Drosophila melanogaster: one gene and its partner. The protein of the gene in region 1 interacts with the protein of each later gene in a pairwise test. Each region holds a gene or a part of one and is shown in the gene's direction. Other genes may lie near its edges. The genes, in order: CG10621 and dati.

Evidence for each region.
Region 2: the proteins of CG10621 (region 1) and dati interact in a two-hybrid assay, tested with the Drosophila melanogaster proteins (one large-scale study listed by BioGRID).

Annotation. Positions count from the first base shown.
Region 1 is NT_033779.5:18,952,481-18,956,415, reverse strand, and holds the start of CG10621 (uncharacterized protein), read left to right. Parts: upstream 1-1,984; 5' UTR 1,985-2,144; intron 2,145-2,625; exon of another isoform or gene 2,626-2,842; 5' UTR 2,843-2,855; coding exon 2,856-3,012; intron 3,013-3,078; coding exon 3,079-3,258; intron 3,259-3,418; coding exon 3,419-3,935. Other genes in the region: Bhmt (Betaine-homocysteine S-methyltransferase), read left to right, coding at 92-472.
Region 2 is NC_004353.4:393,730-397,664, reverse strand, and holds the start of dati (datilografo), read left to right. Parts: upstream 1-2,059; 5' UTR 2,060-3,803; intron 3,804-3,935.

The DNA of each region.
Region 1 (3,935 bases):
AAAAACAATAACATTCTTTATACAAAACAAGGGTAAAAAATATATCGTTCAATTACATTTAAAAATCCACTTTATGTTCCGATATTTTCAGGATGAAAAGCACATGGCTAGTGGAGAAAACTTCGCGGAGGCGGCTCTCTCCCTCTGGCGGTTGGTCCAAAGTCGGAAGGCTGAGAACCGGCTCCTTGGGATCGGTCTGAACTGTGTAAACCCACTATTCGTGACCCCTTTGCTATCATCGCTTACCAAAGTGGCCGGTTCGGATCGCATCCCACTGGTGGTCTACAGCAATCGCGGCGAGATCTACGACGTCGAGCAGGGAGATTGGACTGGAACCGGCGAGGAGGTGGTCAAGTTTGTGCCCGAGTGGATCCAGCTGGGAGTGCGCATCGTTGGCGGCTGTTGCCGGGTCTATCCGACGGACGTGTTGGCGATCCGCAAGTACGTCGATGGCCTCAACATAAAGCCGTAATCGGGAGAGAACTCCGGTCACTGATAGCAGCCTTGTCGCTAATGCGAAAGCTGTTTCGTGTGACTAGACCTAGACCTATTTAGTTTGCTAAATACATATACGCGAGTACTAGATGTACCCAGATCAGATGGCTTCCTAATCAGCAGAGTGTGGAAAAAAGCGTGGACGGCTGGCTGGGAGACAAACACAGATTAGGCGGGCGGACCAAAGGTAAACAAGTGGGCTGGGGATATGGGCAGACGTTCGCCCAACGACTGTTTTTGCCAACCTAGCTCAATTTTTGAGTCCAAATCAAAACAATTTTCTATTCAATTATAACACAAAAACGTGCATTTGTCCTTTGAAAAACTTGCTGTGTTCTTAGCTTTCTATTCTTTATAGCCGGATTTAAATTCTTTAAAATTAATATTGTTAAAAGTGTGTATGTATGTACTGATGTAAAGCAATAAACTACAAAAATATCAAAAATAGTTGTTTTAGTTATCTTCAATATATCATATTTTTAGTACAGTATTAAAATAATATCTTCATTAGAGATTCATCAAATCTAATCACTTCTTACATATGTACCAAGGCAAACGCCTTCTGGTACGCAAGGTACTTTATAGAGAAGGGTATGCCCTTCTATTCTTGCGGTTCTCGACTTTATCACTATGAAAGATATTTCAAAATTTTTTGGAACTTCATACCGCATTTTTAAAAGAGTACTTACATTTTTGGCTGTTGAAGCTTTTGAGGATGGTGGAGCCACATGTCCACCTATTGCACTCTGACCCAATCTGGCAATCAGCCTAATCGGATACTTCGTTCAAAAAACATGATTTTAACGGCCATTTTCAAATTGAAAGCCTTTTGTCGGTCAATCTCTTACTTTACATTTTACTTTATTTATTTATTTATTTATTTATTTTTTTTTTGTCCAAATATTAATAACAATCATCACTTTAAGCTCATCTCTTTTAGAGGAGATTTTATTTGATATATCTTATGTCTTATTTCCTGTTCATTAGCGATTTGTTTACCAGAATAGGGGTTAAATGTTGTTTTTCTCTTTGACATCAGTAGACCTATTTTTGGACCATAATCTATTGAGTGCGGTCGGAAGCTCACCCATTTTCCTTTAAGGAGGACAGAGTCAACAACCAAGTACATCTTGAAGTGTTGGTCCTAGGCGGCGTCCAGAGGTTATCGGCGTCGACTTAGCAGATGCGACATCCCGAGCAGAGTCACTCGGAAGCCAGAACCACGCACAGCGGCGCTTTGACGATTTCATCAGCTTCATCAGCCTCGTGGAGGGGGAGTCGCAGTCCACCCGGACAATCCAATCTGGCTGGCCAGCGTCTGGCAGCTGTGCACCGGGCTTATCACCCACTTGGTGGGGGCACTCTCATGTTTGTGTTTGCCGTTTTGTTTTGTTATAAATTATTATAAATATTATAAATTTCGCCCTGATAAGCCGAGCCGCACAGCTGAGTGGCCCTTCGGAAAGTATAAAAGCCCCTCGACGATACGTGAAACATTTAAACGTTCGTCGAGCGTCCATTGCGACTGATCATATCCACCGTTCCGAAAGATTTGTGATAACCACTTGATAACCAACCAGCCAGTCTAGTGTCTAATAAAGTTGTTATTGAATTTGCCCATTTACAAGATCCATAAACAAGCTGTCAAGGTGAGTGCGAGACCTTATCGTGTGTTTTTCGCTTCCCTACCGATAGATTTTGATGACAGACGGTGTATACACTATCCAAGGAGTATGCTTAAAAGTGCAACAAAGGGATCTTATAAGCAATCTAAAAATGTTATGCTTGGAATACTTACATATATTAAATATTAATATATTTTTTAATTTGGAACAAGAATAGATCTTGAAACGTAATAAATGATTCACTTTAAAAGATATATATTTCTCAAAAATTGTTGCCAAATTTTAAAGAGCTGATGTATATTTTGAATTTAGCGTATACAGAATAAAATGTTTCAGGCTTTTAACTCGCCATTTATTGAGATACGTAAAAATGTGACCTTGGTTTTAAATTTGTATACTATTCAGTGAAAGCTGAATACTCCTAGAATTAAATCTTTTTTATAATAAATCATAAGACTCATATAACATATATCTTAGCTAAAGAACTTTGAGCTGTTTTTCTCAGTGTGTTTTTTAGATTAAGCCACTGGTCTTTTGTTCTGCCAAGTTCGTTGAACTGAAAAATAGAGATTAGTTCTTCCGATACATTGTATAACATCGCCCTGAGTGCAGTGGAATCCAGGTGGCAGACGCAATATACATATTTAATTATCTCGCAGCCCGCTGACGTAGAAATGTAACTAATAATCAATTTTCAACGGATCATCCTCCACCCCTCTTAGTAATCTTTCAATCATGGGTTTGACGCGCGTGCTGGTGAAGGATGGCGGTTTCGGCACCCAGATGACCGTCCATGTGGGTGACTCTGTGGATGGGGATCCGCTATGGAGTGCCCGCTTCAATGCCACCAATCCGGCGGCCATTATCAGCACCCACCTGGACTTTTTGCAGAGTAAGCAATTGTTTTCCGGTAGCAATTGGCAACATACTAACTGAATTTTCCCCTTGACAACACCAGATGGTGCCGATATCATTTTGACCAACACCTACCAGTCCAGTGTCGATGGTTACATGGAGTACCTGGAGCTGGACGAGGAGCAGAGCATCGAGCTGATAAAGAACACGGTCCGCCTGGCCCACATCGCCAAGGAACGCTATCTCACCGAGTGCTATCAGGCGCAGCTGTCGGTGCAGGAGGGTAAGTTGACATCCATGAGGTCCAGCTCGGGCGGGATTAATTTAGATTGTGGTCAAGTGAATGATGTGGTAGGGTCATTACTTTTAATACTTTCTTTAATACTTTATTTTATATATAGTAATATTTACCAATTATATATTCCAATTTATTGTTTTTAAAGGATACCCTTTGATCATTGCCTCCATTGGACCCTTTGGGGCCCACCTGCACGATGGCTCCGAGTACACCGGTAGCTATGCCGACTTTGTGCCGGCCAAGGAGATTACGGACTGGCATCGCGTGAGGATCGAAGCGTGCTTGGAGGCTGGTGTGGATGCGCTGGCCATCGAGACGATTCCCTGTCAAATGGAGGCGGAGGCCCTGGTGGAGATGCTGTGCGATGATTATCCGGATGTGAAGTTCTGGGTGGCCTTCCAGTGCAAGGATGAGAATACCCTGGCGCATGGAGAAACCTTTGCGGACGCGGCGAATGCTATTTGGGACCTCTTGGCTGAACGAAATGCCCAGGATAAGTGCCTGGCCATCGGAGTAAATTGTGTGCATCCGAAGTTTGTGACCCCGCTCTTTAAGAGTTTGAATGGTGACCGCGAAGTGGGTGAGCAGATACCGTTGGTGGTGTACCCCAATAGCGGAGAGGTATACGACGTGGTCAACGGCTGGCAGGGAAGGGAGCACTG
Region 2 (3,935 bases), on another chromosome or scaffold:
GTTAGGATGCTAAAAGGAAAGCTAAAAGTGTTTCCGTACTATCAGGACAGTTTGAGGTAAGCGTGACCGGGTTTGACGTGCGTAATTGAGCCAACCTAACAACACGTTTTCTGAGCACAAGTTCTCAGCTTAACCAATTGAGTCAAGTGAGTTTGAACATTTGGTATGCTCGGTCTGTCCTTGTATTTAGCTGTACACTGTAAGCCCATTTTTAAGACCGCGGGACCCTAGGTTTTGCCTAAAGCTCATGCGTAGCTGTCGACCGATTGAACCTTAGATTATGTAGATATGTATGCGGATTGACTAGTTGTATTTAGACTGACTTGATAGAATTTCGGGTTTATGATCTCTTTTATGAGATGATGTGAATGCGACTTCATGGTAGCCTTGTCTACTATCTCACCAAAAGGCGTCAAAGTCCTCTTCGATCACTATCCAAGATAGCAGCCAAATACCAAAAGATACTATGTACTATACTATAAGGTATTTATCAATCATGTACGACTGCTGTAAAATATATCTATGGGAATAGCACATAATTTTCAACAAAAAAATAGTGGGTTTCCTGTAATTTTTTTTTACTGAGCATGTGTATACTTTTAAAACAATATTCAAATTTGCAAGAAGATATTTATGTACATACATATACCCTAGGTATCCGCTTTTTTCCACGCCACGAATTGTTGCGAATGCATGCATGTATGTGTGTACATAAATAAATATAATATTAAAGAAAATCGATAGAGGTCGATTCCCACAGACCAAAGCACAGACCAAAATCGATTGAGCAGCAGAGGTGGCGGCTAACGTTACCTAAATATGTACATATGTATATGCTGCAGCATACACGGCTGCACATTCATTTTGAAAAGGTAGGGTTCAATAGTGTTTTCCGGATGCCTATGTGCTTTGCGAGCCGCCCACTTGATTGTGTACGTGTTTGTACATAAGAACTTCACATAAGCATTAAAATGCATACTGCCGCACCGTGACGAAGACCAGAAATGCAGCCATATCGCACATACATGCACAAGTGCAGCGCAAAACTCGAGCTAGACAGAAACAGTTGGCTGGCTGTCCGGCGGCGGAAGGGAGATGGCTGAACGTGGACAGAAACAGGAGCTGGGCAGGGGTAGTAACAGGGCCAGGAGGTGCCAGAGAGGCCTTGAAGTAGACATTAAATCATGCACAAATTTGCATTCCACCGACCAGAACGGACTGTGCTGTGGTTGCAGCAAGACAGCAGGGAGGAGGTCGGTTTGCTGGGTGGTTGCAGTGGTCATCACGCTGCAACGCTGCCATAAGGGATGTTACTGCGGAAGTGCAGCGCTGACGGGACCCGACGACCAACGACGAGTGCAACAGCCCCCCTCCGCCTGCTTGTTTGAGAGTTATCAGTTGGAGAGGGCGGCGTAGGGGATGATGCAACGAAAACGCATATGAAAGCGGCATGGGCCAGACATACATATATGTTGTACACTGTACGCACACAGACTCACGTGGAGTGAATGGGCGCTGGGCAACAATAGCATGCAGCTTAATACACTTGAAAAAAAGACCAGAAAGCCATATCCCGCGCCTTAGACGGAGAAGGGAACGGGCAGGGCTAGACAGAGACTAGAGGCCTCATCAGGTCATCCCTACAAGGTGTAATTGAGGAGCAATAAGAATATCAATAAGCTCTCCGAGCTTAAGAATTGTAATTCAGGAATTGGTGCTTTATTGAAATTTTTTTATTCAATTTTTTTTTGAGTGTAGAGCTGCAACTGCAAATGCTGAAACAACTGCCACTGCAACTGCAGTTACCAACAGCGCCGGCGCTGGCACAGGTTCCCTGTCCGAGTGCAAGGATCTGAATCCACATCCGCCGCTTTCGCTGTTGTTGTCGCTCCCGCTGCTGTCACTTTTTGTTTAACACACAATTTTTATCTTATAATAAGCACACCGCTGCTGCCAGCTATTTCCCCAATTCGGCACCCGGCTGTCTCCATCCCAGTCTCCAGCTTGGGAAGCAACGTATGCCGAGGCGATGATTTTTATTCTCAATTATTTTGGATGCGGCATTCAGAAACGCAATATTCCATGGAGTAGAACAACCGACTGCGGATCGTCCTGACCTCGCGGATCATTTTTATTTTATCAAATGTGCTTAAACCAGATATAAAATGATTGTGGACTGTGCTAAAAACTAAAAACTAACCAAATAATAGAGTTGTTTGATAAAAAAAAAAAAACAAAGCACAAATGAATTGCTTGGCAATGCTTACTTGGACGATTTCATTTGTGTTTTACTGAATTCAGATGAAAATATGAAAACAATATTTCTTTTAATTTAATTTCAGATCATCATAATTTTAACAAACACAATAGACCAAAAATCGTTTTTAACAATAAAGAAGAATCCGTAACTAAACGATCAAATCGACAAACCTAACTCAACCCAGCCATCTTTCAGTTTTAAACGCAATAGAACAGATGCATTAATTAACTAAGTTTTCTACACCTATTACCAAAAAGGAAGAACCACATCAACATTAACTTCATCACCAATCCGAAAAATAACATCTAAACCAATATAACCTAACATAAAAACAGACCAACGAGAAAACCCATTTAAAAATTACTTTTTAGACAAATGAAAAATATAATTTACAACAAAATTGAAATCAAAAGTACAAAACGACATTAATGAATGCGCAAAAGAATTATAAATTTAATACAATATAAAACTGTATGTTTTAGTAACGATTACGTGAAGATTTAAGTCCAAACTAGGCTACTAATCGAAAATATGATTACGTGAAGATTTAAGTCCAAACTAGGCTACTAATCGAAAATATGATTTATATGATTTACACAAATGTGTACATAACCATATAGTCATTTAAATTGCATATATAGTCTCTTAATACTAATTTAAACAGTATATAATAAAACATTTAGATTTTCTACAGCTACAAAATACACTCCCTGAATGATTACCGAAGACACACTGACACCGGAACAGACAGTTTGAACTATCACATACCCTACAGCTAGCCCTAGCATAACCATACGTAACTATACACCAAGTCGCTTATTATTTTTTAATGATAAGAGCAATACTCAAAAAATAATAGTATAGATACATGATTAAGCGTGAAGAGATAGTGGTTATTATAGTAAACAGTACGTAAAATAGTATATAAAATTAAAGATATTGCTACTATAAATAATCAAAATATCATTCTTCGGTAATATAATGGACGATATTTTAAACTAAATATTCGTTTAAGTTACAAATGTGAACCTCGAATTATTTTAAAATTGGAATATATCATATTATATTTTTATATGTATATTAAATTATGAGACGTCACAATGCGTACATATGTAGGTATTTCCGAACAATACAAATCTGGGCATCAAAATAGTAGATCGTATCGGGTAACAAATTGTGATTCAAACGTTTACAAAATTTTTAAATTTATATGTAAACAAATTCAAATAGAAACTGCATCAATCTAACTCCATGTTTTGGGATAAATAGGCGATAAATGAATTTTATAACCAATATATCGCGACACCGTAACGTGTGCCTTATTCCGGCCTTAAGTTTAAATGACTTTTAATAATACATCAAAAACCTAATTCAAGTATATATTAAGCCCACGGACATTCAACTGCAAAGCCGTCGCACGTAAAAAGTCAATAGGATATAGGATTTTCTAATATAGGACCATTACCTGATTGGTATGCCGCCCATCACCTGCGACGTAACCGTCATCGTACTGTAATCGCCTGAGAATATGTTTGTTTTCAAGGTAATTATTGATCCTAACTTCCATGTTAATATCGAATCCCTACAGTCACAATGGCGATCATACCTTATATACACACATATATAAACATATGCGTGCATATATATACATACGTGTAACAAGAACAAAGTTTCC